4 linked regions of the Anolis sagrei genome follow. The protein of the gene in region 4 purifies or fractionates together with the protein of the main gene of each other region. This does not show direct contact. Links are inferred from orthologs where the notes say so. Each region holds a gene or a part of one and is shown on either strand. Other genes may lie near its edges.

What was found.
Region 1: the proteins of BAG2 (region 4) and DNAJB1 purify together in Homo sapiens (affinity purification with mass spectrometry; 4 studies listed by BioGRID and IntAct, with this or other methods). This does not show direct contact. The link is inferred for Anolis sagrei from reciprocal best matches to the Homo sapiens genes BAG2 and DNAJB1.
Region 2: the proteins of BAG2 (region 4) and EDRF1 purify together in Homo sapiens (affinity purification with mass spectrometry; 3 studies listed by BioGRID and IntAct, with this or other methods). This does not show direct contact. The link is inferred for Anolis sagrei from reciprocal best matches to the Homo sapiens genes BAG2 and EDRF1.
Region 3: the proteins of BAG2 (region 4) and IRF2BP2 purify together in Homo sapiens (affinity purification with mass spectrometry; 3 studies listed by BioGRID and IntAct, with this or other methods). This does not show direct contact. The link is inferred for Anolis sagrei from reciprocal best matches to the Homo sapiens genes BAG2 and IRF2BP2.

Annotation. Positions count from the first base shown.
Region 1 is NC_090022.1:128,013,724-128,020,568, forward strand, and holds the start of DNAJB1 (dnaJ homolog subfamily B member 1), read left to right. Parts: upstream 1-3,825; 5' UTR 3,826-3,935; coding exon 3,936-4,146; intron 4,147-6,422; coding exon 6,423-6,845. UniProt on the Homo sapiens protein: Interacts with HSP70 and can stimulate its ATPase activity. Stimulates the association between HSC70 and HIP. Negatively regulates heat shock-induced HSF1 transcriptional activity during the attenuation and recovery phase period of the heat shock response.
Region 2 is NC_090023.1:196,759,887-196,767,800, reverse strand, and holds the start of EDRF1 (erythroid differentiation-related factor 1), read left to right. Parts: upstream 1-4,901; 5' UTR 4,902-4,981; coding exon 4,982-5,068; intron 5,069-7,914. Other genes in the region: TEX36 (testis-expressed protein 36), read right to left, coding at 874-924. UniProt on the Homo sapiens protein: Transcription factor involved in erythroid differentiation. Involved in transcriptional activation of the globin gene.
Region 3 is NC_090021.1:59,346,682-59,353,794, forward strand, and holds the start of IRF2BP2 (interferon regulatory factor 2-binding protein 2), read left to right. Parts: upstream 1-4,099; 5' UTR 4,100-4,656; coding exon 4,657-5,707; intron 5,708-7,113. UniProt on the Homo sapiens protein: Acts as a transcriptional corepressor in a IRF2-dependent manner; this repression is not mediated by histone deacetylase activities. Represses the NFAT1-dependent transactivation of NFAT-responsive promoters.
Region 4 is NC_090021.1:118,661,734-118,668,862, reverse strand, and holds the start of BAG2 (BAG family molecular chaperone regulator 2), read left to right. Parts: upstream 1-4,116; 5' UTR 4,117-4,165; coding exon 4,166-4,323; intron 4,324-7,129. UniProt on the Homo sapiens protein: Co-chaperone for HSP70 and HSC70 chaperone proteins. Acts as a nucleotide-exchange factor (NEF) promoting the release of ADP from the HSP70 and HSC70 proteins thereby triggering client/substrate protein release.

The sequences.
Region 1 (6,845 bases), on a different chromosome or scaffold from region 4:
CTACAGGTGGATTCCCCTGGAAAGCCTCTTTATCACTCAGCTCTTCACTCGATTCGTTATCTAATGTCGCACCTTTTTATTCCCCTGAATGTCCTTGAGGCCCTGCACAGAATCACAGAGATGGAAGAAACCTCATGGGCCATCCAGTCTAACCCCCTGCCAAGAAGCAGGAATATTGCATTTAAATCACCCCTGACAGATGGCCATCCAGCCTCTGTTTAAAAGTTCTAAATCATCGGTTAACCCACCAGCCTCTGGCAGCTGATGTACAACACAGCTATATATAGTGTAGTTATATAAAATTGTATAATCAAAGTTTGTTGGGAGGATTCTTTTTAAATATTTTTAATTCGTGGGTGATTGAATCCATAGTAAAGAATCTATGGATACGGAGGGCTAGCTGTATAGAAACGTGGGTTAAGGCTTATCAATCTGCTACAGACTGCACACATCTCAAAACTACTTCCCTTTCAAAAGGCAATGGGAGGACTCCATTTATAAATACTGTGCTAGTTAGATATTCGGGCGTTGGAAGAAAGACGGAAACAGGGGAAAACATTGCAATTATTGTTTGATGCTATCTGTTTAGATTTCAGTGAGTCCTCTGTGGTAATGATTTGATCTTTCTCCCTTGACTTCTGGGAAGGATCTCTCTTAGATCTCATCTTATGCCGTCTCAAACTGGTATTGAAGAAAGTGTTTTCACTGTGCAGATGATTACATAGGAAATCATTAAATGATCAGTACAGACGGGACCTCAGATTGTGGACACCTTGAACAATGGTATCAATCAGGAATGAGTGTTTCTTAACACCTAGAAGCTGTAAACAAGCCAGCATTGAAGTGACTTTTGCCACTTTTTATCTGCTGCCTGGGAGAAGAGCCAAGGGCTGGACTGCAAACTGGAAGGCAACCTCCCTCCACCATACCAGCCCCACCCAGGGGTCAAATTAAACACCATAGAGAAGCAGTGCCAAGGAGGTGAACAAAGAGTGGAAATTCCTGCGTAAAGTCCCATTACGGAAGCACTGGGTGCTCTTTGTTGTCCTCCTGGGATTTCACCGTCCTGAATCATTAATTCAATGTCGTCTACAAGTACAGTGACCGAGTTTGCTAACACGGTGAAACCTATGTTGGGTCTGGGCATAATTGGGAAGAGAACCATACTTCCTTTACACCATTTTTGGTGTGGCATTTTGGAATAATGTGCACATTTTTGGTCATGGAACCTCAATATATAATACAGTATGGTACAATCTATATATAAATTAAAATGTTCGTTTGTGGGATTGACATAACTCAAAAGCCACTGGACAAATGGACACCAAATTTGGACACAATACAAGAGTGACCATCACTCATAAAAAACACTGAGAAACACAGCAGAAAAGACTTAAAAAGCCAAAAAAAATTAAAGCGCATGCGCAAAACCACATATACACACACATACACACACATAAAACACATATACACAAACTGAGCCACAGCAATGCGTGGCAGGGGACTTCTAGTCTATATAAATAAAAATGTAATTTTTGTTTGTGGGATTAACATAACTCAAAAACCAGTGGACAAATTGACACCAAATTTGGACACAATACACCTATCAGGCCAACAAGTGACTTTCACTCATAAAAACACAGTGGAAGGGACTTAAAAAGCCAACAAATAAAAAAAACATCCACAAGTATATACACATATACATAAATATATACACACATACATGCACATATACACACACAAAGCACATATACAGAGACTGGGCCACAGCAACGCGGGACAGTTAGTCTATATAAATAGAAATGTAATGTTTATTTGTGGGATTAACATAACTCAAAAAGCACTGGACAAATGGACACCAAATTTGGATACAATACACGTATCAGGCCAACAAGTGACCATCACTCATAAAACACTGAAAAACAGCACCCAGGGGGTGAGAGTTTTTGACTTAAAATGCCAAAAAACAAGAAATGTATTACACCGCATGTGCAAAACCACACACATATATATACACAAACATACATATGTACGCATATAAACAAATATATACACACTCAAAACACATCTACACAGACTGGGCCACAGTCATCAAGTAGATGATCCAAACATGAGCAATCCAAATGGTTACAAAATTTGGTACTTCTTAATTGTGAAGAAAAGGTACGTAAGAAGAAATGTTAGATATATTTCCAAATAAACATGGGGCAGGTAGCAATTAAAAAATGGAGGTGGCACCTGTCAGAGCAACAGGTGGTCTTGGGGATAAGAACCCCCTCCTCTGTTAAAAAACAATGCATAGAATCATTGAAGAACAGAATTGCAAGGCCATTCAATGCTAATCAAGGTGGCCAGTTGCAACATTCACACTTGCCTCAAGCAGACAAAAGTTCTTTCTCCCACCATGGACATTATCCCACAGATATAAAAACCGGTAATAGTATGATAGCTGGGTCTGGAAACTCTGAGTGTTACGGAGATGCCGCATCGCTCCTTTGGGAGCGCTGTTTGCACAAGAGAGACTTAGCTAATGTAAGCCAGGCCTGAGACAGATACTCTAGAAGGAATGTAAGAGTTCTTTAATGGTGAAACTCTAACCCTTACCCTAACCCTGATCCGTATGCGTAAGCCTAAGCCTAACCCCTACCCAAACCTTACCCTAAACTGTACTCTAACCATAACCCCCAACAGTAACCCTAACCCAAAACCTTGCCCTAACCCTAAGCATGCCGTCCTTTCTATCCTTCCTTCGCTCTCCCCGCTCTCTCTCCGCCTCCTCTTCCCTTATTCACAACTGCCTTTGCAGCATCTCCGTAATGCTGAGCTTCCGGGCCCAGCTATCATACTATCACCTAAAAAGCTCACTTGTCTAGTTTCCAACAGACCCCTCAACCTCTGAGGATGCATGCCATAGATGTGGGTGAAACGTCAGGAGATAATGCTTCTGGAACATGGCCTTACAGCCCAGAAAACTCACAGCAACCCAGTGATTCCATGTCATGAAAGTCTTAAACAACACAGAGCTGGAAGAGACCACATGGGCCATCTAGTCCAACCCCTGCCATGCAGGAAGAGCACAACCAAAGCACCCTCAACAGGTGGCCATCCAGCCTCTGTTTAAAAGCCTCCACAGGAGCCTCCACCACACTCAGGACAGAGTTCTACTGCTGAACAATTTTTTCTCATGTTCAGGTAGATGCATCTACACCAGTGGTTCTCAACCTGTGGGTCCCCAGGTGTTTTGGCCTACAACTCCCAGAAATCCCAGCCAGTTTACCAGCTGTTAGGATTTCTGGGAGTTGGGGGCCAAAACATCTAGGGACCCACAGGTTGAGAACCACTGATCTACACTGTAGAATAGATGCGATTTGACACCACTTTAACTGCAATGATTCCGTCAAAGGAATTATAGCTTTACAACGCCTTCTTTCTTCTTTGAGAGCGCTGGTGACTCTCCAAACTACAAGTCCCATGATTCCACAGCACTAAACCATGGTGCCAAACCGCATTCATTCCACAATGCAGATGCACCCAGAGCTGTTTCTAACGGAAGAGGCGGCTCTCATTCCCAAAGGCCACACGTTTCTTTTGGCACGCGCCACTCCTGGCCCGTCCACTGTCTGCGCGCGCATCTCAAGAACCCCGAGCGCGAGGACCGTTGGCGGCCCAACGAAGAATGCCCCCCCTCCCCCCGCCGTTCAGTCCCAAGGTGGGCGCCCTCAGCCGTTAACTTCCAAGCTTTGCCCATCCCGCAGTCGATCCCCATTGGCGGAGAGAACAGAGTGCTCGATGGCGATTGGCTAGGGCAGAAGGGATGGGCGGGGCCGAGGCGGAGATTGTTGTGGCAAGCTCTGGAAGATTCCTCCGCCCGCAGTATAAAACCGGAGGGGACGCGCCCGGCCCGGCATTAGAACCCGAGGCGGTGAGGGCGAGCCATGGGCAAGGACTACTACCGCACCCTGGGCCTGTCCCGCGGGGCCAGCGACGACGACATTAAGAAGGCCTACCGGAAGCAGGCGCTGCGCTACCACCCGGACAAGAACAAGGACCCCGGCTCCGAGGAGCGCTTCAAGGAGATCGCCGAGGCCTACGACGTGCTCAGCGACCCCAAGAAGCGCGAAATCTTCGACAAGTTCGGCGAGGAAGGTGCGCGGGGGCCGCGGGGTGGCCGGGGGGGGGGGGCAGGAGGGACCTGCGCATGCGCCTTGGCGTCACATTATTCGCCACGGCTCGATTCTTCAGAAAGCGTAGTTTGTTGAGGGACCAGCGCTCTTTGGCAGCCAGGGGCCTTGTCAGCAGCTGCCAGGGATCCATATCGTTAAAGTGGGCTCCAGCCGCATTCATTCCACAGTGTAGATGTAGCCTGGAGTGTAGCCTAGAAAACCAGCTTCAGCTTGGTTTGCTGTGAGTTTTCCGGGCTGTATAGCCATGTCCCTGACGTTTCATCCACATCTATGGCTGGCTCAGGTTGTTGATTCCCCTGCCATTCACGAGAAAGTACACAGGGAGTTTGCGTTGTGGCACCAAGAGCAGAGGAGAGAGAGAGGGGAAGGGTCTCTTTTCAGCACATCTCTGGGTATTACTTCCTGTAAGGTTTTAATCAAAACTAATAACTGGCTAAAGGCCCCCCTGGTGCTGCAGCAGATTAAACTGCTGAGCTGCTAACTTGCTCACCGAAAGGTTGGCGGTTTGAATCCAGGGAGAGGGGTGAGCCCCCGCTGTTAACCCCAGCTTCTGCCAACCGAGCTATTTGAAAACATGCAAGATGTGGGTAGATCAATAGGTACCACTTCTGCAGGAAGGTAATGGCACTCCATGCAGTCATGCCGGCCACATAACCTTGGAGGCATCTATGGACAACGCAGGCTATTTGGTTTAGAAATGGAGATGAGCACCACCCCACCCCCCCCCCACCCCCCCAGAGTTGGACATGGCTAGACTTAATGTCAAGGGAAATCTTTATCTTACTAACACTGGCTAAAAGTGAGGAATGATGAGTAGAAAGCAGAATATTCACACACAGGTATTGGAGGCAATCCGTGTCCCCTCTTGCTGAAGTTCCTTTGACAAACGTTGCCAGTTTGAGTTGTTCTGCCCTGATCTCGCTGCCCAGGCAAGACCTTCTCGATTTTGAGATGCCTCCTTCTGTCTACTTGATGATCACCCCCAATTTCCAGAGCTAGTTGGACGCCTTTTCCTCTGGAGCAACTGTTAAGACGATGCTGAAAACTCACAGCAAACCAAGCTTTTTCATGAAGGATGAAGTAGAAAAAGCAGACTGTTAGGAATTGGGCGAGTTGAAGTCTAAAACATCCTGGAGGGCTGAAGTTTGCCCATGCCTGAAGTAGAAAGTGGACGAGAAGGGCTGAAGAACGAGTTATTTCACTTTGTGGTTCTGGAAAGCAGTCCAATGTTGAGTTGCCATCTTTAAATAGTTCCAGTTATAACCTCCAACATCCACTATTATCTAAAGCAGTGGGTTTCAGATTTTCATCCCCCAGGAGTTTTGGACTTCAACTCCCAGAACTCCTAGCCAGTTTACCAGCTGTTAGGTTTAGTGGGAGCTCTAGTTGAAAACATCTGGAAGACCAAAGGTTGAGAACAACTGATCTACAGGCTCTTCCTGATAGGGAAGGCTACTTTGAAATCACCCAGATTTAGCAATAATTATAGCCCTCTTGTGTAGGATTTCTGTAGTGTCCTGCTTTGCATATCAGTCTCTTTGTGTCTTCAGGGATTTGTTTTTGCTTTGTATGTTTACTTTCTTGTTCTGAAGAACATCCACCCCTTCCGTAGAATGTTGAAATGTTTAGTGCGTAAAAGAGAAGCTCTCAACTTATTTATACAGATTGTGGTAAATTTCCATAGCTTTTCTGTATTGTTTCGATTGCACAGCTGGCATTCATGGAACATTCTGAGCATTTTCCTTTAAATGGGTGTTGTAGTAATTTGGCTGCATCTATTGGGCTGCATGACAGGCTGTCTGAGATAGGTGGAGCTTTTGTTACACAAGTCTTCTAGTCGTTGCTAGAATATTCTAGCATGTTCTTGTGCTTATCTGTTGCAGTGCTACCTTTTCCTTAGTAGAACTGTTTTTCTGCAAGATTTATACTTATTAAAGTATACAGATTAGGTGAAATGCATTCTGAATTGAGCTTTGTATCCAGGAGCATGGATTTAGTAGATCTTGTGAATAACTGAGAATTGTAGTTTTTTTATATGATTTGGACACTAGGGTACACAACACACAAATGTACTGAAGTTAGCTGTTGGGTGTGAGATTTGTTCGAAGTATTTCTAATTACCCTTATGCAGTTGTTTGACATGTCTGTAAAATGAGTAAAAATAATACTTAGGCTTTTTTGATATTGAATGATAATGTAACCTGAAAGCTGAGGCTTATTGTGTTTCCTATATTGCAGGACTAAAGGGAGGTGGTCCCAGCTGCAGTGGAGGTGGTCCCAATGGCACTTCATTCACCTACACCTTTCATGGAGATCCTCATGCCATGTTTGCAGAATTCTTTGGTGGGCGGAATCCTTTTGATACGTTCTTTGTTCAGAGGAATGGTGACGAAGATATGGACATTGATGACCCCTTCACGGGTTTTCAAAACTTTGGCAACATTGGCTTTTCCCGTGCTCGTGGGGGCCATGAAAATGTTCGCAGGAAACCAGATCCACCCATCACTCACGAGCTGAGAGTATCCTTGGAGGAAATTTACAGTGGATGCACCAAGAAAATGAAAATTTCTCACAAACGGCTAAATCCAGATGGAAAAACGACACGCAATGAAGATAAGATTCTAACAATTGATGTCAAACGTGGCTGGAAAGAAGGAACTA
Region 2 (7,914 bases), on a different chromosome or scaffold from region 4:
ATTGGAGGATCTTGAGATTCCTAAAGAACTGTTCTCTCTAGAAATCTCGATGGCCCCTTTCTACACTGCTATATAAAATCCAGATTATCTGCTTTGAACTGGCTTGTATGGCAGTGTAGACTCATATAATTCAGTACAAAGCAGATAATGTGGTTTATCTGCTTTGATAATCTGGATTATATGGCAGTGTAGAAGGGGACTATGTCATCCAGCATAGAATAATACTGAAGGACCGACCCAGGGCCCTTCCACACAGCCCTATATCCCAGAATATCAAGGTAGAAAATCCCACATTATCTGCTTCGAACCGGGTTATCTGAATCTACACTCAGATAATGTGGGATTTTCTGCCTTGATATTCTTGGATATAGGGCTGTGTGGAAGCCCCCCAATTTTAAATAATTAGACATCCTCCAGCTGTTTCGGCCTCCAACTCTCAGAATATCTGAACACTGTACAAGCTGGATAGGGCTTCTGGGAGTTGGGGGCCAAAACAGCTGGAGGGCTGCGGTTTGAGAATGCCTGGCCAAAACAATAAATGTGTGTGTGGGGGGGGGGGGGGAGTGGCAGTGTTGTGAAACAAGGAGCGTTAGAAAACTAAGGGACACATGGCAAGCCAATGCTATCCTTTTCTCTATCACAGATCATTATTTCAGGTTAGCATTATACCAGTGGTTCTCAACCTGGGGTCCCCAGATATTTTTGGCCTATAACTCCCAGAAATCCCAGCCAGTTTACCAGGTCTTAGGATTTCTGGGAGTTGAAGGCCAAATATATCTGGGGACCCCAGGTTGAGAACCACTGTGTTACACTCTCCCATATTTGCCAGGAACTAACTGAGACACTATAACTACTCAGAGAGTGCCTCCTTACCCAGATGCCATCCCGAGATGTGCTGGGGTTGGCCCGCTTCCCTTTGGGCATAGTTTCTTGTTACATGGAGCTCAACTCCACCAGTGACATGGAGAAAACAGAGGGCTCTTTTGCCACTGGTCTCTGGACAAGGCTGAGGAAGACCTGGTTGCCAAGGTCAACAGTACCTCCTTTCCCTGCATCTTCAGGACAGCATTCCAGAACCTTTGGATTAGTCTCTCCCATTGGATGTCCGGCAGGATCTGATCCTAGAGCTTTCCAAACATTTCATGTTGGTGACACACTTCTTAGACATGCATCATTTTGTGACACAGTAATTCAGCCTTATTATAGCATAACCCATCCGCTTTATAAGAAATATGGACACAGACATAAAATGTATGTAACACAATCTATCATTAAAAAATTTGAAAAAATGTAATAAGCCACAAAAACTTTGTTTATGCGGGACATCCTGCAGCACATTTTGCTATAGTTTTTCAATGAATAGCTCAAAGCATATCAACCAATTGAACAAAGTTTGTAGCAGCCACAAAAACGAAGTTTCTGGAGTTGAACTACTTTCAATTCAGCAGGAAATAAGACTTCCAAACCAGGAACAGAAAAAAAATCAAATTTTGTTACATAGTATTATATGGCAGTGTAGTTCTGCAGCACATTTTGCTAGTTTTTCAATAAGCCCTCCAATCTTCCGACACATCATTTTGACATGCCAAGAGCTCTGGATGGAGGGGCCTGAGCATGCTACGAAGCCCCTAAAGTAAGTTTAGGAGTCAAAAAGGGGCTGGGAGGGGAGGTGCCATCCTGGAACCCAAAGAACAGGGATCGCTGTGGGGAGCCAATCCCCAGAGGCTGAGCACCTCAACTGATCAGGTCCTCTCAGTAAGATCCAGATATTTTGAGGTGTCAAATTATTCTAATCTGGGAAATCTAAGGGCCCTTTCAGAAAGGCCCTATAATCCAGGATGCAATCCCAGGTTTTCTGCTTTAAACTGGATTATATCAGTCCGCACTGCCAGATAATCTGCGATAAACAGAAAACCTGGGATCAGATCCTGTGGTATAGGGTCTGTCTGGAAGGGCCCTAAGGCCCCTTCTACACTGCCATATAAAACCCAGATTATCTGCTTTGAATTGGATTATAAGGCTTTTTTTTTGTTGTTCATTCGTTCAGTCGTTTCCGACTCTTCGTGACCTCATGCACCAGTCCACGCCAGAGCTCCCTGTCGGCCGTCACCACCCAGAGCTCCTTCAAGGTCAATCCAGTCACTTCAAGGATGCCATCCATCCATCTTGCCCTTGGTCGGCTCCTCTTCCTTTTTCCTTCCATTTTCCCCAGCATAATTGTCTTCTCTGAGCTTTCCTTTCTTCTCATGATGTGGCCAAAGTGCTTCATCTTTGCCTCTACTATCCTTTCCTCCAATGAGCAGTCGGACTTTATTTCCTGAAGTATGGACTGGTTGGATCTTCTCGCGGTTCAAGGCAATCTCAGAACTTTCCTCCAACACCACAATTCAAAAGCATCTATCTTCCTTCGCTCAGCCTTCCCTAGGGTTCGGCTCTCACATCCATAGGTGACTATGGGGAATACCATTGCTTTAATTATGCGGATCTTCGTTGCCAGTGTGATGTCTCCACTCTCCACTATTTTATCGAGATTGGTCATGGCTCTCCTCCCAAGAAGTAAACGTCTCCTGATTTCCTGGCTGCAGTCTGCATCTGCAGTAATCTTTGCACCTAGAAATACAATGTCTGTCACGGCCTACACGTTTTCTCCCTCTATTTCCCAGTTATCAATTATTCTTGTTGCCATAATCTTGGGTTTTTTTATATTCAGCTGCAACCCAGCTTTTGCGCTTTCTTCTTTCACCCTGATTAGAAGGCTCCTCAGCTCCTCCTCGCTTTCAGCCATCAAAGTGGTGTCATCTGCATATCTAAGGTTAATTTTTCTTCCAGCAATTTTTACTCCAGCCTTGCATTCGTCAAGTCCCGCATATCGCATGATGTCTTCTGCATACAAGTTGAATAAATTGGGTGAGAGGATACAACCCTGCCGAACACCTTTCCCAATCTGGATTTTATATGGCAGTATAGACTCGTAAAATCCAGTTCAAAGCAAATGTGGATTGTCTTATTTGATAATCTGGATTATATGGCAGTGTAGATCCTACCTGAGGCTCCTTCTACACTGCCCTATAATCCAGATTATCAAAACAGATAATCTACATTGACCAATGAAACCCAGATTATAATCCAGTTTTAAAGCAGATAATCTAGGCTTCGTAGGGCAATGTAGGAGCCCGAAACACCAGCTCTAATGAAAAGAGGCCCCTTCCACACTGTCCAGAGATCCCACACAGCCAAATAACTAGAATATCTGCTTTGAACTGGGTTATCTGAGTCCACACTGCCATCTATTCTAGTTCAAAGAAGATAATGTAGGATTTTATTCAGCGGTGTGGAAGGCAGATTAGTGAGATGGGCCAAAACTAACAAAATGAAGTTCAACAGTGACAAATGCAAGATACTAAACTTTGGCAGGAAAAACGAAATGCAAAGATATAGAATGGGGGACAATGCCTGGCTTGAGAGCAGTACGTGTGAAAAAGATCTTGGGAGTCCTCGTGGACTACAAGTTAAACATGAGCCAACAATGTGATGTGGCGGCAAAAAAGCCAATGGGATTTTGGCCTGCATCAATAGGAGCATAGTGTCTACATCTAGGGAAGTAATGCTACCCCTCTATTCTGCTTTGGTTAGACCACACCTGGAATATTGTGTCCAGTTCTGGGCACCACAATTCAAGAGAGATATTGACAAGCTGGAATGTGTCCAGAGGAGGGCGACTAAAATGATCAAGGGTCTGGAGAACAAGCCCTATGAGGAGCGGCTTAAGGAGCTGGGCATGTTTAGCCTGAAGAAGAGAAGGCTGAGAGGAGATATGATAGCCATGTATAAATATGTGAGAGGAAGCCATAGGGAGGAGGGAGCAAGCTTGTTTTCTGCTTCCCTGGAGACTAGGACGCGGAACAATGGCTTCAAACTACAAGAGAGGAGATTCCATCTGAACATGAGGAAGAACTTCCTGACTGTGAGAGCCGTTCAGCAGTGGAACTCTCTGCCCCGGAGTGTGGTGGAGGCTCCTTCTTTGGAAGCTTTTAAACAGGGGCTGGATGGCCATCTGTCAGGGGTGATTTGAATGCAATATTCCTGCTTCTTGGCAGGGGGTTGGACTGGATGGCCCATGAGGTCTCTTCCAACTCTTTGATTCTATGATTCTATGACTGTGAGAGCCGTTCAGCAGTGGAACTCTCTGCCCCGGAGTGTGGTGGAGGCTCCTTCTCTGGAAGCTTTTAAACAGAGGCTGGATGGCCATCTGTCAGGGGTGCTTTGAATGCATTTTTTCTGCTTCTTGACAGGGGGTTGGACTGGATGGCCCATGAGGTCTCTTCCAACACTGATTCTATGACTGTGAGAGCCGTTCAGCAGTGGAACTCTCTGCCCCGGAGTGTGGTGGAGGCTCCTTCTCTGGAAGCTTTTAAGCAGAGGCTGGATGGCCATCTGTCAGGGGTGCTTTGAATGCAATATTCCTGCTTCTTGGCAGGGGGTTGGACTGGATGGCCCATGAGGTCTCTTCCAACTCTTTGATTCTATGATTCTTTGATTCTAAACTAACAAAAGACCCCTATTCCTTCTATCAGCGTTGTCCGGGCTCTGATTACTTATGGCAGTGATTCCCAAACGCGTCTTCTACAATTCTGGACTCCAACTCCCAGAAGCCTCAGCTGCCTTCTCCAATGACTAGGAATCCTGGGAATTGAAGTCCAAATTAGCTGGGAGATCAAAGGTTCCACCCACTACACTTTCCCAGACCCTCTTCTAGGTTTGTATACAAGCGCTTTGACAGAGATCTCGCGAGTGTTGCTCCTCCTCGGCGAGAGCTTGTGAGAAGCATTGCAAAGAGCCAACGAAACGCAGCGAGGGCAAGGAGGGGGCGGGGCTTAGACTTTTTTTCTATATCCGAGCTCTTTCCGGATGTTTCTAGGAGGCCGAACGTGGAGAAGGGAGCGGACTTCCGGCAGCTGAGCCTGAGGCGAGCGGCGAGCGAATGGGGGACTCCAGGGAAGCGGGGGGCGAGGCGGGCGCCGGGGCTTCTCCGTCGCCGTTGAAAGGAGAGCCAGAGGAGCCCAAACAGGTACCGAAGCACCGCAGGCATTGGCCAACGAAGGAGTGGGAACACTGTAGAACTCATGCAGTTGGACACCACTTCAATTGCCATGACTTAATACTGTCCTGGTGTCATTTCACAAGCTCTTTGGCCTTCTCTGCCACAAGAATTTCTGGAGCCTCCCCAAACTGTAACTCCAATGATTCTCTAGCAGTTGAAAGTGTTATGAAACTACATTAATTCATTCTAGTCTAGATGCAGCATAAGCTTCAATGAATGACCCTTCAATGCAGTATATAATTTTATTTCTTTCCCGCCTCTCCTCGTGACGGGTTACACAATAATTAAAACACGTATAAACACTAAAAATAATAATAATACTTTATTTATACCCCGCCACCATCTCCCCAAGGGACTCGGAGCGGCTTATATGAGGCCAAGCCCAACAACACATCAATAAAACAAGAAAGCAATAAACAAAAACAATACAATTGTTATAAATCACATATAAACAATAACACACAAGATTTAAAAACCTATGGCCGGGCCAAATGTAATAGTTTAAAATTAAAAATAAATGCTGGGTAGGAACAAGGTAGGATATATCTGGTAGGAGGGTTTTAAAGAAGTGGGGGGAGTGCAATCCAACAAATAGTTAAGGGGGGCATTTTGCTGGGAATTAATTTCCTTATTCCGGGAAGGCACACTGGAACAGCCACGTTTTCAGGTTCCTCCTAAAGACTCCCAATGTTGGGGCATGCCTGATATCCCTGGGAAGTGAGTTCCAGAGTCAGGGGGCCACCACCGAGAAGGCCCTCTCCCTCATCCCCACCAACCGTGCCTGCGAGGCAGGCAGGAGCGAGATCAGGGCCTCTCCAGATGTTTGAAGAGATCGTGTGGGTTTGTACACAGAAATGCGGCCATGCATAAAAATAAAAATACTTCAAATAATAATAATGAGTTGTTGTAGATCTTTTGGGCTATATGGTCATGTTCTAAAAGCATTCTCTCCTGACATTTCACCTGCATCTATAACAGGCATTCTCAGAGGTTGTGAGGTCTGCTGAAAACTAGGAAAATTGGGCCATAGCACGTCATGTCTGAAATTTAGAAGAACAAATGGTCCATATGGGTGGCTTTGCTTTCTGATGGTTCTAAATATAGAAACTATAATAATTTAGATTTTTTAATATATGAAACATAAGTGAATTCCGTGCATAGACTTGGATCTCTTCTCCAAGAGATCTCATTATGTACATATATGCAAATACAGGTATTCCAATATACACACACGCTGTGTGTGTGTGTGTGTGTACACACATATACACACACTGTCTATCCCAAACATTTCTGGCCCCAAGACTTTTGGACGATACAATTAATAGAAGTGCAACAGAGGGAATTTCAGCTGTCATGCAAGACTATGACTGGAGACCAGGGTTTGAGTCCTTTCTTGGCTGTGGAAACCTACATTGGGCAAGTCACACACACACTCAGTCATAGAAAACTTTATGACTTATTTGTGAGTGAGAGCAGGGCCTCCCTGGATGATCTTAAACAACGAGACAGGACGTAGAGGGAGATGCGTTTGGACAAGTAAGCTGGGCCAGAACCGTATAGGGCAAAGGTTCTCACCCTGTTGGTCCCCAGATGTTTGGTCCCCTGGCTACCATAAATTGGAAATTACTTGATGAAAGACAACACCTGTTGAGATTTCTTCTTTTACACAGCTATTAAGGGGGCAAGAGTGTATAGAACAGGGGTCCTCAAACTAAGGCCCGGGTGCCGGATACAGCCCTCCAAGGTAATTTACCCGACCCTCGCTCAGGGTCAACCTAAGTCTGAAACGACTAGAAAACACACAACAACAACAACAACAACAACAACAATCCTATTTCATCAGCCAGAAGCAGGCCCACACTTCCCATTGAAATACTAATAAGTTTATATTTGTTAAAATTGTTCTTCATTTTAATTATTGTATTGTTTTTAAGTGTTTTTTGAACTACAAATAATATATGTGTAGTGTGCATAGAAATTCATTCATTTTTTATTACAATCAGGCCCTCCAACAGTTGAAGGGACTGTGACCTGGCCCTCTGTTTAAAATGTTTGAGGACCCCTGGTATAGAAGTTGGAAGAGACCCCAAGGGCCATCTAATCCAAGCCCATTCTGACATGCAGGAACCCACAGTCAAAGCTCCCCCAATAGATAACCTTCCAGCCTCAGTATAAACACCTCCAGAGAAGGATACTTCATTGGGCCCTAAGGAAATATACTCTACTGCCTAACATCTCTTACTGTCAGAAAGTTCTTCCTAATGTTTAAGTGGAATCTCTTTTCCTGCAATTTGAATCCTTTCTTCTATTGTGGCCTGGTCTCCAGAGCAGCAGAAAACAAGCTGTGACATCCTTTAAAATATTTAAACATGGCTATCAAGTCTCCTCTCGACCTTCTCTTCTCCAACTTAAACATATCTAGCTTTGCCGGTTTTACTCTGACAACCCTTCTTGCTTTTGAAGGGTGCTATGAAACAGTTGGCACTGAACAGCCAAAGGAATGCATTTAGATGTTGTAATAAAGTCCATCGGATAATATCCAGGAACAGCTGTACTATGATAACTTAATTGGTTTTTAAATTATCATAAGATACTTTGTTTTTCTCTTGCAATAGTGTACCATGGCTATACCTTTGTCAATATTGATGTCCCAAAAGCCTTTCTTAAAAAGCCTTAGATATGTTCTGGTAGTGGTATCTTGTCTCTCTCTTGTGAGAAAAATATTGTTGGATCCTGGAAAACTTTTGGTATTGAAGTCATACCAAAAGATCTCCTGTTATCATTGTAATGTTTAATGGAGATATGTTGGGAAG
Region 3 (7,113 bases), about 59 Mb from region 4:
GCGGTGTTCTCTCTTTCTCTCTCTTGCCTTTCTCCCTCCCTCTTTCCTTTCCGCTTCATTAGGAAAGGCTGTTCAAACAACAATGACTGCGTTTGGAATAGCAACGAGGCAGAAACGTCAGCAAGATTCCTTTCTCTCTTTCCCTCCCTCTTTGCCCATCCAGAGGCAAAGATAAGCATCTGCACTCTGCTCTTCCAGCTCACAACCAGTTCCATCCAGTTCAAAGGGGGAGTGCTTTACATACACACACATTCAGTACATTTTTCTCACCCTTTACCTTTTATTAATTTCTTTTCCCCAGGATGAAATAAGTGGGTGTCAAGTTGTATTTATTCTACAGTGTTAAGATGGCTCTTTAAAACCATCAACCGTTGCTTAGGAACGTGAGAATGTAAAGCGTGTCGTTCAGGCTCCCGTGCAATGAGTCCACAGCCAACCCTAACCTGTGCTTTTGCTTTTGGAAATGCTAATCAAGCCAGGACTACAAAGGCTACTTTAAAGAGATGTATTGTTGTGTGTTTTCCAGGCTGTATGGCCATGTCCCAGGAGCATTCTCTCCTGACATTTCGCCTGCATCTATGGTAGGCATCCTGAGAGGTTGTTGAGTGTTTTCTGGGCTGTAGGGCCATGTTCCAGAAGCATTCTCTCCTAACGTTTCACCTGCATCTATGGCAGGCATCCTGAGAGGTTATGAGGGCTTGTTGTGTGTTTTCTGGGCTGAATGCCCATGTTACAGAAGCATTCTCTCCTGACATTTTGCATGCACCTATGACAGGCATCCTCAGAGGTTGTGATAGATTGTTTTGTGTTTTTCCGGGCTGTATGGCCATGTACAAGAAGCATTCTCTCCTGACTTTTCACCTGCATCTACGGCAGGCATCCTCTGAGGTTGTGGTAGGTTGTTGTGTGCTTTCTGTGTTCCAGAAGCATTCTTTCCTGACGTTTCATCTGCATCTAGGGCAGGCATCTTCAGAGGTTGTGAGGGGTTGTTTTGTGTGTTTTCCAGGCTGTATGGCCATGCTCAAGAAGCATTCTCTCCTGACGTTTCGCCTGCATCTATGGTAGGCACGCTGAGCGGTTGCGAGACCTCACAACCTCTGAGGATGCCTGCCATAGATGCAGGCGAAACGTCAGGAGAGAATGCTGCTGGAGCATGGCCATACAGCCCGGAAACACACACAACAACCCAATGCTAATCAAGTCAGGACTGCAAAGGAGTTGCAGCAGAGGCAAATCGGTTTCTGGGCGGCTGCCTCTGCCAACACAGTGTTTTGTATTGTTTTTAAAAAATTGGGAAAGGTAAATCCGCCACATGCCAAAACCGTCTTTCCTGAGGCCTGGTTGCAAAGAAGGCGCGGCGCGGAATCATTGCCAACGCCAAGCACGCGGGAGGACACGCTAAAGCGCTTTGTTTGTTTGTTGCAGTTGTTTGACCCGACTCGGCCGCCGTAGCCTGCAAAAACTGCCCATGCTATCTTAAGTAAAAGTTAAGCCTGCGAGGGAGGGAGCGCCGCGCGCCCAGAAATAGCAGCAAAGGGGCGGGGCTTGAAGGCTGTGACGGCGCTGGCCGCAGCTCGCTCTCTCTCTCTCCCCCCCCCTGTCTCTCTCTCTCGTCCCTGGAATGTGCATTTCGCTTAACAAGGCTTCGAGTGCCAATGGCATAGAGTCACGTCCCCGACTGCGCATGCGCAGGCCGGAGGAGCCCTTGGACCAAAATGCAAACGTCAGAAACTCGCCTCCTTTTTTCCCTCCCTCCCTTTGTAACCTACATAACTCAGCAGCCGCCGCCGCCGCAATAATAATAATAGTAGTACTGTGGGAATGGTGACCTAGGCGGCAGTTTTCGGGGAGCGGCTGGCTCTTGTGTTTACGCAGCACAATCCCCAGGGCGCACGCAGGCAGTGAAGCGGGATCGCCGCTGGTTCACGCGTCTCGTGTGAACGGGAAAGGGGGCGAAAGCGTGGGCGAAAGCGTGGTTCGCGAAAAGGCCTTACTGGTGCATTATTCAAACTGTTATGTTTATTCATATCATGATCTGATCACCATACTCAATATATCCCATATGCACGGGGGTATTGCGGTAATGATACAAAAGGTTTGCTAGGCTAGACCCTCTTTCACTCAGACTCAGCCCCCCCCCCGAAACTCAGCCCTCCCCAACCCCCCCCCCGAAAAAAATCAGCCCCCCCTCCCCCGAAACGAAATCCTGGCTGCGGGCCTGGTGGGGAGGGTGGGAAAGAGGGGGAAAGGGCCGCCTGGGGTTAGGCTCTGCACCAGAAACACCATGTTTATGAGTTGCACTTACTTTTAATGGGGTTTCTCTAGAGTAGGCACGGGCAATCCTGGGCCCTCCCACGAGGTGTTTTGGACTGCAACTCCCACCATTCCCAACAGCCTCAGGCTTAAGCGTCTGAAGGGAAAATGGAAAGGGCCCGAGGCTGTTAGGAATGGTGGGAGTTGTAGTCCAAAAAGCCTGGTGGGAGGGCGTAAGTTTGCCTATTCATTTACAGTATTTCTATTTTTTGTAATACAGTATTTCTATTATATTTCTGTATACTATTTCTATATTATATCCCATGTCTTTATTTATTTATTTACAGTATTGATATCCCTTGTATTACATTCTATGTCTTTAATTACAGTATTGATATTCCTTGTATTACGCTATTGATATTCCTTGTATTATATTCCATACCTTTATTTATTCATTTATTTACAATATTGATATTCCTTGCATTGTTGTTCATTCGTACAGTCATTTCCAACTCTTCGTGACCTCATGGACCAGCCCATGCCAGAGCTCCCTGTCGGCCGTCACCACCCCCAGCTCCTTCAAGGTTAAGTCAGTCACTTCAAGGATACCATCCATCCATCTTGCCCTTGGTCGGCCCTCTTCCTTTTTCCTTCCATTTTCCCCAGCATCAGTCCTCTCTAAGCTTTCCTGTCTTCTCATGATGTGGCCAAAATACCTCATCTTGGCCTCTAATATCCTTCCCTGCAATGAGCAGTCGGGCTTTATTTCCTGAAGTATGGACTGGTTGGATCTTCTCGCAGTCCAAGGCACTCTCAGAACTTTCCTTCAGCACCACAGTTCAAAAGCATTTATCTTCCTTTTGTAATTCCTTGTATTACAGTATTTATATTCCTTGCATTGATATTCCTTGTATCCCATGCCTTTATTTATTTATTTATTTATTTATTGTATTTATATTTCTTGTATTGATATTCCTTATTATATTCTATGCCTTTATTTATTCATTATTTTCAGTATTGATATTCCTTGTATTTATGTTCCTTGTATTATATTCCATGCCTTTATTTATTTACAGTATTGATATTCCTTGTATTACCGTATTTATATCCCTTGTATTTTTATGCCTTGTATTATATTCCATGCCTTTATTTATTCATTTACAGTATTTATATTCCTTGTGTTATATTCCATTTACAATATTTATAATCCTTGTAGTACAGTATTTCTATTCCTTGTATATATATTCCATGCCTTTGTATTATCAATGGAGAAGCCGTCAAACCATTGTTTCTGAAGGTGCGAACGTGAAAAATGCATGCTGAAATCTGAATTAAAATCAGGAAGTCGAATGGTCACCTAGATTGCTGTTGTTTTTTTTCAAAGGGCGGCCATTGAAGAATCCCAAAACCTGACGTGAAGCCACATACACACACATGCAATTGAAGTATCCCAATACCACACAGATACATTTATTTATCTTGTCAGGGGCAACCAGACCACACAGATACATGCAAAATGGCAAAAAAAAGACATGCAAAAAGGAATTTCCCCATCCATGGCACTCGCATTGAGGGCGAGGAACCCCCCCCCCCCCCCACACACACACACACACCTTGGCCTCCATTCACACGCGAGAGCCCTTTTCCCTCCCAAGGAATCGCCCGAAAATAAATACAGATACATACAAAATGGCAAAAAGAGGGACATGCAAAAAGGAATCTCCCCAATCCTGGCATCCGCATTGAGGGCGAGGAAATTTTCCCCCCACCTTGGCCTCCATTCACACGCGAGAGCCCTTTCCCGTCCCTCCCTCCCTTTCCTCCTTCCCTCCCTCCCTTTCCCCGGTGCTGACTCGGAGAGAGAGCTGGTTATTCTCGCAGCCCTTGTTGTCTTGGCAGAAGTTCAATGAGCAGCAGGAGGAGGAAGAGAGGGAGAGGGAGGGAAGGAGGAGGGAGGGAAACGGCGAGGGGGAGAGCCTAGTACGCATGCGCTCCTGGGCACTGTCGAAGAATCGAGTCACTGGAGCAGCGAGAACGCACTCAGCGGCGGCGGCTCGTGGAGTCCCCGCCCCAGCAGCGCGAGAAAGAGAGAGAGAGAGAGAGAGAGAAGGAGCGTCTGGGCAGCGCGGTGGTAGTAGAGAGAGAGAGAGAGAGTGAGCGAGCAAGCAAGCGCGAGCCACGAAAGGAGAGCACGAGCCGCGAAGGAAGAGCGCGAGGCCCGGGCGATGCGGTAGCGGAGGAAAGGCGTTTTTGCCAAGGAGCGACGGCGCGGCTGCTTTTCCGGCGGGAGCAGAGGAGGCTGCTGTTGCAGGGAGAGGAGGAGGAGGAGGAGAAGGAAGGCGAGGCCCGTGCTCGCTGCCGCTGGCTGTGCTGCTGCTGCTGCCGCCCCCGGGTCCCGCGGCCATGTCTTCCGCGGCGGTGGCGGTCTCGGCCGCCTCCCGCCGCCAGTCGTGCTACCTCTGCGACCTTCCCCGCATGCCCTGGGCCATGATCTGGGACTTCACGGAGCCCGTCTGCCGCGGCTGCGTCAACTACGAGGGCGCCGACCGGGTGGAGTTCGTCATCGACACGGCGCGGCAGCTCAAGCGGGCCCACAGCTTCCAGGAGGCGCGCGGGGGAGGGGGCGGCGGCGGGGGAGCGGGCCCCCAGCAAGGCCCCCACGCCAAGGCCCCGCCGCCCCCTCCGCCGCCGCCCCCGCTCAGCGCCAAGGAGATGCACTCCGCCGCCGTGGCTGCCGCCGCTGCCGCCGCCGCTGAGGCCGCCTCCCGCGGGGGGCCTCCGCCGCACGAGCGCTACGCCCTGGCCGCCGCCGCCTCAGAGCGGGCCCCACCGCGCCTGGGCCCCGAGTACGGCGGGCGGCAAGTCAACGGCATCCTGGTGCCCAACGGCTTCCCCAAGCCCGAGGAGCCGCCCGAGCTGAACCGCCAAAGCCCCAACCCGCGGAGGACCACGCACGCCGTGGCGCCCACCCTGGTGCCGCTCATGAACGGCGCCGCGCTCCCCGGGCTCAGCAGCCGCGCCGCCGCCTCCTTGGCCGCCATCACCGGGCCGCCGCTGCAGGTCTCCGTGGCGGCGGGAGAAGGCGCGCCTCCGCACAAGAGGCCCGGCTCCGTCTCTTCCTCTTCCTCCTCCTCCTCGTCTTCCTCGGGAGGCGACGCCGACAAGGACAAGGGCCCTGCCTCGCAGCGGGGCTCCGTCGAGGGCCTGGAGGCGCTGGAGGGCAAAGGCCGCGGCGGGGGCTCCGAGCAGGAGTGGCTGGGGAAGCCCAAGACCGTGCGGGACACGCTCCTGGCCCTGCAGCACGGCGGACACGCCGTCCCCTACGAGGGCAAGTTCAAGAAGGAGCCCGGCCTCGCCGCCGCCGCCGCCGGAGCAGCGCCACCAGGAGCAGCAGCAGGAGGAGGAGCAGGAGGGCGGCTGCTGGGCTACGAGGGCAACGGCGCCAAGGCCTCCGGTGAGTGGCCAGGAAGACGGGCCAAGAGGAAGGAAGGGGTGCTGAGGTGGCCCAAGCGGTCTCGGCACCCCCCCTCTCTCCCCCTCCCTCCCCCTTCCTTTCTTCCCACCCCCTCCCTCACGTTCATTCCTTCTTTCCCTTTCCTTCCATCATTCCTTCCTTCTCTTTCTTCCTTTCCCTCTCTCCCTCCTTTTCCTTTCTTCCTTCTCTTTCTTCCCTTCTTCTCCTTTCTTTCCTTCTTTTCCTCCTTTTCTTCCCCCTCCCTCCCTGCCTTCCTTCTTTTCCTCTTTTCCTTCTCTCTCTCCCCCTTCCCTCCATTTTCTTCCTTCCCTCCCTCCCCTTCCTTCTTCCCCACTCCCTCTTTTCCTTCCCTTCCTTTCCTTCCTTCCTTTCCCTCTCTCCCTCCTTTTCCTTTCTTCCTTCTCTTCCTTCCCTTCTTCTCCTTTCCCTCTTTCTCTCTCCCTTCCCTTTTTTTCCTCCTCTCCCTCTCTCTCCCTTCTCTTCTTTCTTCCCTCCCTCCCTCCCCTTCCTTCGTTTATTAGCTTTCTTTCCCCCTTTCCTTCCTTCCTTCCTTCCTTCCCTCCCTCTCCTTCCTTTCTTCTTTCCTTCCTCCCTGAGTCATCCATGTTACGTTTCCAGCAGGCACCAGGAAGTAGTGCTGAAATGGCCACCCTGGTTCTGCATTTTCTGCTCAACAGAGAACGAGGGGAGGGGTCTCCCTTTCTTTCTGCCAACTGCTCCCCTCCTTTTCCTTCCCAGCCATTTTTCTTCATAGTATTATCTGCTTCTCCTTATGGCACAAGGACGTTGAAATGCACCATTACGTATCGAACACGTTGCATTTCTTCAAAGCACATGCTAGGGCAGGCATGGGCCAACTTGGGCCCTCCCTCCAAGTGTTTTGGACTGCAACTCCCCCCATTCCTAACAGCCTCAGCCCCTTTCCTTTTCCTCCGCTTAAGTGGCTGAGAGGGGAAAGGAAAGGACCTGAGGCTATTAGGAATGGGGGGGAGTTGCAGTCCAAAACACTTGGAGGGAGGGCCCAAGTTGGCCCATGCCTGCGCTAGGGCATACACATAAAATATATGGGTCCAAAGTAACGTTTGAATGGAAAGAAGTGGGTCCCTCCCTCTCAGTGCAGGAAAGGGAGCTGGGGTCGCCATTTCAGCACCACTTCCTGGTGCTGGAGTGTGGTTTGTACTTCAGAGGCTGGAAACATAACATGGATGATGACTCAGGAGCCGAGGGAGGCTTTCCCCCTCCCCCCCCCCCAGGCCCCAGCCTCCTTCTTGGGGAAAGGGCCCCATTGAGGCTCCCAGAGGTGTTTTGCAGAAGGCTGGGGAGCAGGGTGCCATCTCTGGAGTCGCCCCTCACAGGTTGCCAGGCTTTTCTCTCTGGACGTAGCC
Region 4 (7,129 bases):
AAGTCATTTCAGACTTAGGTTGACCCTGAGTGAGGGCCGGGTAAATGACCTTGGAGGGCCATATCCGGCCCCCAGGCCTTAGTTTGAGGACCCCTGGTCTAGGGGGAAATGTAAGCTATCCTTAGGAAAGACCTTAAATACTTCGAGCAGTTCCCTACATGTCTCATTCCCTTGCTATAAGGAGACCAACAAATATTGTCCATCTTTGGGGTGACTATCACATTTCAGAAGGGTGTTGGTGAGTAGCATTCCCATCTTTTTCATACAGTCTCAATCACCTAATCAATACCCTTCAAGATCTAAGTGCTGTATTCTATTACTAATCCAACTGGAATAAAATTCTAATTCAAACTAGACACGTGTATTAACATTCTCTGCTAAAGTGCTCCTTTTTTCACTTCATTAACTTTTAATTCCCAAAGTCTACCCACAGCATGCAATCTGAATGTTGCTATTACCACCCTCTTCCCACCAGGGACCATCCTTCGTCCATTGACACATTCTGCTGTAACAATATCCACATGTTTTTGCTTTTAGCCATGCGGATATAGCTGTGCGAATCTTCCCCGAGGGAGTGAGTGCCGGTCAACCTGCCCACAAATAAGCCCTGTAAGATGATCCTGTCCAGAAAGTATTCTGTTAACACCTACGCTCTGAATAGCAAGCCATGTGAAAATAGCACCTTTGTTTTTTCTGAAGGGGAGAAAAACTCCCCATAGAAAAGGTACAGCACGGCTCTATATCAACTCCATGCGGCATGGTCAATGTCTTTACAACATGCACTTTTATAGTGTCTGGCGGACCATGAGTTTCTGTACTCGTGCTTTCAGGGCTATGGAGAAAAGGGGTTGAGCTAGAAAGCATCAAACCTTTTAAAGCTATGTAACGAAACCCATGAGTGAGTGAATACCATCTTGACGCACAGTCTTCTAGTCCTTCCAATTATGGTTAACATTATTGAACTCTGAAGCCACAACATACTTCCTTTCATAAAAGGAAAGTCTTCTGTCATCTTCAAGTACCTATTTATAAAAAGACTTCCAGTTGCTGTTAAGGCCCCTAACAAAATGACTTTACAGTACTGTTTGATGTGCCACAACTTTCAGGAACTTAAACTAGCAATTATAGCCTAAGTTACGATTGCAGTCTGATTTTTGGAAATCTCCCAGCCACCAATTGAACCAATTTCTCCCTCCATCAAAATCTGACTCATGAAAAAAGATAAATGTTTCCCCTTGACATTAAGTCTAGTTGTGTCCAACTCTGGGGGTGGCACGCATCTCCATTTCTAAGCCGAAGAGCAGGCGTTGTCTGTAAACACCTCCAAGGTTATGTGGCCAGCATGATTACATGGAGCGGCAGAAGCTGGGGCTAACAGCGGGAGCTCATGCTGCTCCTTGGATCTGAACCGCTGACCTTTTGGTCAGCAAGTTCAGTAGCTCAGCGGTTTAACCTGCTGCACCACTGGGGGTTCCATCGGGGCTCAAGAAAGAGCCAGGCTGGGTTGTCGGTTTTTTGGGCTATATGACCATGTTCTAGATGCATTCTCTCCTGACGTTTTGCCTGCATCTATAGCAGGCATCCTCAGAGGTTGTGAGGTCTCACAAATGTTGAGGTCTATTTTCCCCAAGCCCCACCATTAACATTTCGGCCTATTGAGTATCCGTGCCAAGTTTGGTCCAGATTAATCACTGTTTGAGTCCACAGTGCTCTCTGGATGTAGGTGAACTACAACTCACAAACTCAAAGTCAATGTCCACCAAACCCTCCCAGTATTTTCTGTTGTCTATGGGAGTTCTGTGTGCCAAGTTAGCTTCAATTCCATCGTTGGTGGAGTTCAGAATGCTCTTTGATTGTAGGTGAACTATAAATCCCAGCAACTACAACTCCCAAATGACAAAAATCAATCTTCCCCCCAACCCCACCAGTATTCAAATTGTTTGTGCCAAATTTGGTCCAGTGAATGAAAATACATCCTGTATATCAGATTTTACATTACAATTCATAATACTAGCAAAATTACAGTTATGAAGTCGCAGCGAAAATAATGTTATGGTTGGGGGTCACCACAACATGAGGAACTGTACTAAGGGGTCTACCATTAGGAAGGTTGAGAAACACTGGTCTACACTCTCACACTCTCTTGCTGTCCTTAATGTAGTGTTGCTGTATTTTTGAAAATTAACTTCAGTTGTGTTTTTTTAAAATAACATTTTCTAGGAAAAAATCTAAATTGGTAAGAAATACTTTTGTAAAAAACCCTGTCCTCTTCTTTGAAAAGAAGGTTGAGAAACCAAATCACTGCAGTGCAGTTAAAGAAAGGAAAGTTTGTGCCAGCCCTTGGCATGCGCTCAAGAGACTGCAGGGCTGCTGGGTCCTAATAGAAACTTAAGAGGAAGAAAGGACTTGTTAGAGCAGGCAAAACCTTTCACTTTTGGGAGAGCATCAGGACAGCTTTTATGAGTGGAGGAAAAAAGTTGATATTCCAACTCTAGGATTCTAAGCTGTGTGAGTGCATCTGTTTATGTAGGTGTGTTTTGAATGAGGTCTATCATATCTATGACTGTATAGCCATCTATCTGGAAGGCTTTTGTAGTGTCTTCTTGCAGGCAGAAGAGGGTTAGACTGGATGGCCCCTTGGGTCCCTTCCAGCTCTAGGATTCTAAACTGTGTACGTGTGTGTGTTTATTGAATGATGTCTATCATATCTATGATTGTCTGGCTATCCACCTGGAAGGCTTTGGACACCCACTTTTGCATGGCAGAAGTGGGTTGGACTGGATGGTCCTTGTTGTCTCTTACAGATCTATGATCTCTACTGTTTGTATGTATGTATGTATGTGTGTGTGTGTGTATATATATAGAGAGAGAGAGAGAGAGAGAGAGAGAGAGAGAGAGCACCTGTTATAACTATGACTGGCTGGCCATCTGTCTGAAAGGTCTTGATGGTGTCTTCTTGCATGGCAGAAGTGGGTTGGACTGAGTGGTCCTTATGATCTCTTCCAGATCTGTGACATCTATTGTGTGTATATGTGTAAAAAAATATTTTAAATGTCTGTCATATCTAGGCTAGCTGGCCATCTGCCTGGAAGTCTTTGGTGGTGTCTTCTTGCAGGGCAGAAGAGGGTTGGACTGGATGGCCCCTTGGGGTTCCTTCCAACTCTAGGATTCTAAATTGTGTGTGTGTGCATGTATTGAATGACGTCTATCATATCTATGATGGCCTGGCCATCTGACTGGAAGGCTTTGAGGGTGTCTTCTTGTGTGGCAGAAGAGGGTTGGACTGGAGGGGCCTTGTGCTCTCTTACAGATTTATGATATCTATTGTGTGTGTGTGTATACGTGTGTGTATAGCCTGTCACAATTATGGCTGGCTGGTCATCTGTTTGGAAGGCTCTGATGGTGTCTTCTTGTGTGGCAGAAGAGGGTTGGACTGGATGGTCTTTGCGGTCTCTTACAGATCTATATCTATTGCTTGTGTGTGTGTATATATATGTGTGTGTGTGTGTGTGTAGCCTGTCACAACTATGGCTGGCTGGTCATCTGTCTGGAAGGCTCTGATGGTGTCTTCTTGCATGGCAGAAGAGGGTTGGATTGGATGGTCCTTGTGGTCTCTTCCAAATCTATTATATCTATTGTGTGTACGTGTGTGTGTATACACACACACACACACACACACACTATATATATATATATATATATATATATATATATATATATATATATACGCACGCACACATTCTCTCCTCCCCTCTCTCTTTCTATATACTGTATATAATATCTGTCATAACAATGGCTGTCTGGCCATCTGCCTGGAAGGCTTTGATGGTGTCTTCTTGCATGGCAGAAGTGGGTTGGGCTGGATGGTCCTTGTAGTCTCTTCCAAATCTATGATATCGATTGTGTGTGTGGGTGTGTATATATATATATATATATAAAATGTCTGTCCTAACTATGGCTGTGGCCATCTGCCTGGAAGGCTTTGGTGGTGTCCAACATTGTGGGAGTTGAAGTCCAAAACAGCTGGACTGGAGAGCAGCCTGGACTGGAGACTGGAGAAGGGCGGGCAGGCGTGCCCTGGGCGGCCCTGCTGCCTGTCCTCCTTGTTCGGGAGGGAGGAGCCTCGGGCGGCGCAGGCAGAGGGAGAAGCTGAGGCGGAGCGGCGATGGCCCAGGCCAAGAGCAGCGCCTCCAAAAGCCTCCTCGCTTCGGAGCCCGGGGAAGGGGGAGTGCCGCCGCCTCGCCGGGGCCGCTTCTTCCGCTCCACTTCCATGGCCGACCGCTCCAGCCGCCTCCTGGAGAGCCTCGACCAGCTCGAGCTCAGGTCAGGCACCAGCCCAAGGGGAAGGAGGGAGCGCGCGGGTGAGCGGGCGGGCGGGCAAGCAAGAGGCGCGTGCACCGTGGACTAGGCGAAGGGAAGCCGCGCTGCAGGCCATCCCCAGAGTTCTCCTCTCCTGCCTCTCCAAAACACACAACTTCAATGACACCGCTTTGTACTGGGGTCTTGGAAGTTGTAGTTTGGAGACGCACTTGCACCCTTTGGCAGAGGAGGCTGAAGGCTTGTTTTTTTAAGACTACAATTCCTATGATTCCATAGCATTGAAACAGGGCAGGTCAAAGTGGTGCCAAGGTGCATTCAGGCTACAGGGTAGATCAGGCACGAGCAAACTTGGGCCCTCCCTCCAGGGGTTTTGGACTTCAACTCCCACCATTCCTAACAGCCTCAGGCCCTTTCCTTTATCTACTTTATCTCCTGTGCCTTTTTTGTTGCAGGTTGTGGGCCTATTTGGCCCAGCATAAACACAGAACCAGTCTGCCCCACAGTCTGTCTTCATTATTATTATTATTATTATTATTATTATTATTATTATTATTTACGACATTTATATGCCGCCCTTCTCACCCCAAAGGGGACTCAGAGCAGCTTACTATACACACACACACACACACACACACACACACACAATATATATATATATGTATGTATGTATTGTATTGTATTGTATTGTATTGTATTGTATTGTATTGTATTGTATTGTATTGTTGAAGGCCTTTATGGCCGAAATCACTGGGTGACCCTTCTGATAACCCCTCATGACCCCCCCCCCCCCCAGGGTCCCGACCCACAGGTTGAGAAATGCTGCCATCCAGTCCAACTCCCTTCACCAGTGCAAGAAAACACAATCTAAGCCTTCCTGACAAAAAGCCATCCAGTCATATAGATATATAGATATGATTCACACACACACACATATGTATATGACAGATATAGTATCCTAGATTTGAAAGGGACCTCTAAAGAAGGACAATGATATGTTGCCTGTTTCAGAGTAGGCAAACCTGACAATCTCTACATCAAGACTGACAAAGAAACAGCAAGAAATACTGTTTACCCACAAGCAGAAAGAAATTACCTATATTAGAAACCAACACTTTCTCATTACTTTATTTTCCAGATCACCAGATTGGGCCACAGCAACGCATGGCAGGGGACAGCTACTCTATATAAATAAAAATGTAATGTTTGTTTGTGAGATTAACATAACTCAAAGTCCACTGGATGAATTGCTGTCAAATTTGGCCACAAGACACCTTCTAACCCAAGAAGTGACCATCACTAAAAAAATGATTTTGTCATTTAGGAGTTGTATTTGATGGGATTTATAGTTAACCTACAATCAAAGGGCATTCTGAACCCCACCAATGATGGAATTCAAACAAATGTGGCACACAGGACTCCCATGACCAACATGGGCATTTATGGGCATTGATCTTAAGTTTGGGAGTTGTAGTTCACCTTCATCCAGAGAGCACTGTGGATTCACACAATGATCCAGACCAAATTTAGCACAAATATTTCATATGCCCAAATATGAACACATGGAGTTTGGGGGAAATAGACCTTTACATTTGGGAATTGTAGTTGCTGGGATTTATAGTTCACCTACAATCAAATAGCAATCTGAACCCCACCAAATGACAGAATTGGGCCAAACTTCCCACACAGAACCCCCATGACCAACAGAAAATACTCAAATACTCAAGGCCATCCAGTCCAACTCCCTTCACGAGGGCAAGAAAACGTAATCAAAGCCCTCCTGACAAAGAGCCATCCAGCCATAGATGTAGATAGATATATATGATTCACACACACACACACACACTACTATAGTATCATAGATTGGAAAGGGACCCTAAACAAGGACAATTCTATGTTGCATGTTCCAGAGGAGGCAAACCAGGCAATCTCCAACACTGACAAAGAAACAACAAGAAATACTGTTTACCTACAAGCATAAAGAAATGACAGATTAGAAACCAACGCTTTCTCGTTACTTTATTTTCCGGATCACCAGACCGGGCCAGAGCAATGTCTGGCAGGGAACGGCTAGTAACCATATTAAAAAAAATGTAATGTTTCTGAGATTAACATAGCTCAAAAACCACTGGATGAGTTGACATCAAATTTGGACACAATACACCTATCAGGCCATTGAGTGACCACCACTCCTAAAAACACTGAAAAACACAGCGGAAGGGACTTAAAATCCAAAAAACCAAAAAGACTCTACAACGCATGCACAAAAATTACTCTCCTGGTAAACAAAACACACAAAAGCATATCCACACTCTCTTTCGGACTACAGCTCCCAGCATCCCCTAGACCAGGCCCTTTAGGAGAGGAGGATGATCCAAATGCACTGCTTCCAGGATGCAAGCTTTCTTCTCCTTGGATTTCTTTGAGAGCATCCCAATCCCTGCATATTTCCAATTTCCTATTCCTGGACTGCAACTCCCAGCAACCCTCCCAGCTAGTTTTTTATATAGTAAACGAGGAACATGAACACAATAAAAGCACCCTCAGTACTAATTTTGCTCTAATTGGGAAGCTATGCTCGCTTTGCCATTAGTAATAGATATGCTATAAGGAGAGAGTTTCGTATTCGAAGTAGCCAAACCTGTCCCATAAATTACTACCTCTGTATTTTCCCAGACATGAAAGGAATGGAAAAGGTGTAGCAATTGAAATGCTGTGGTTGGCCTGTTCCATTTGGGACTTGAAGGGCTACAGCCCGGGTACTGATTTACCATCTGGACTGAGCACCAAATCATCTGGAGCAGGCATCCTC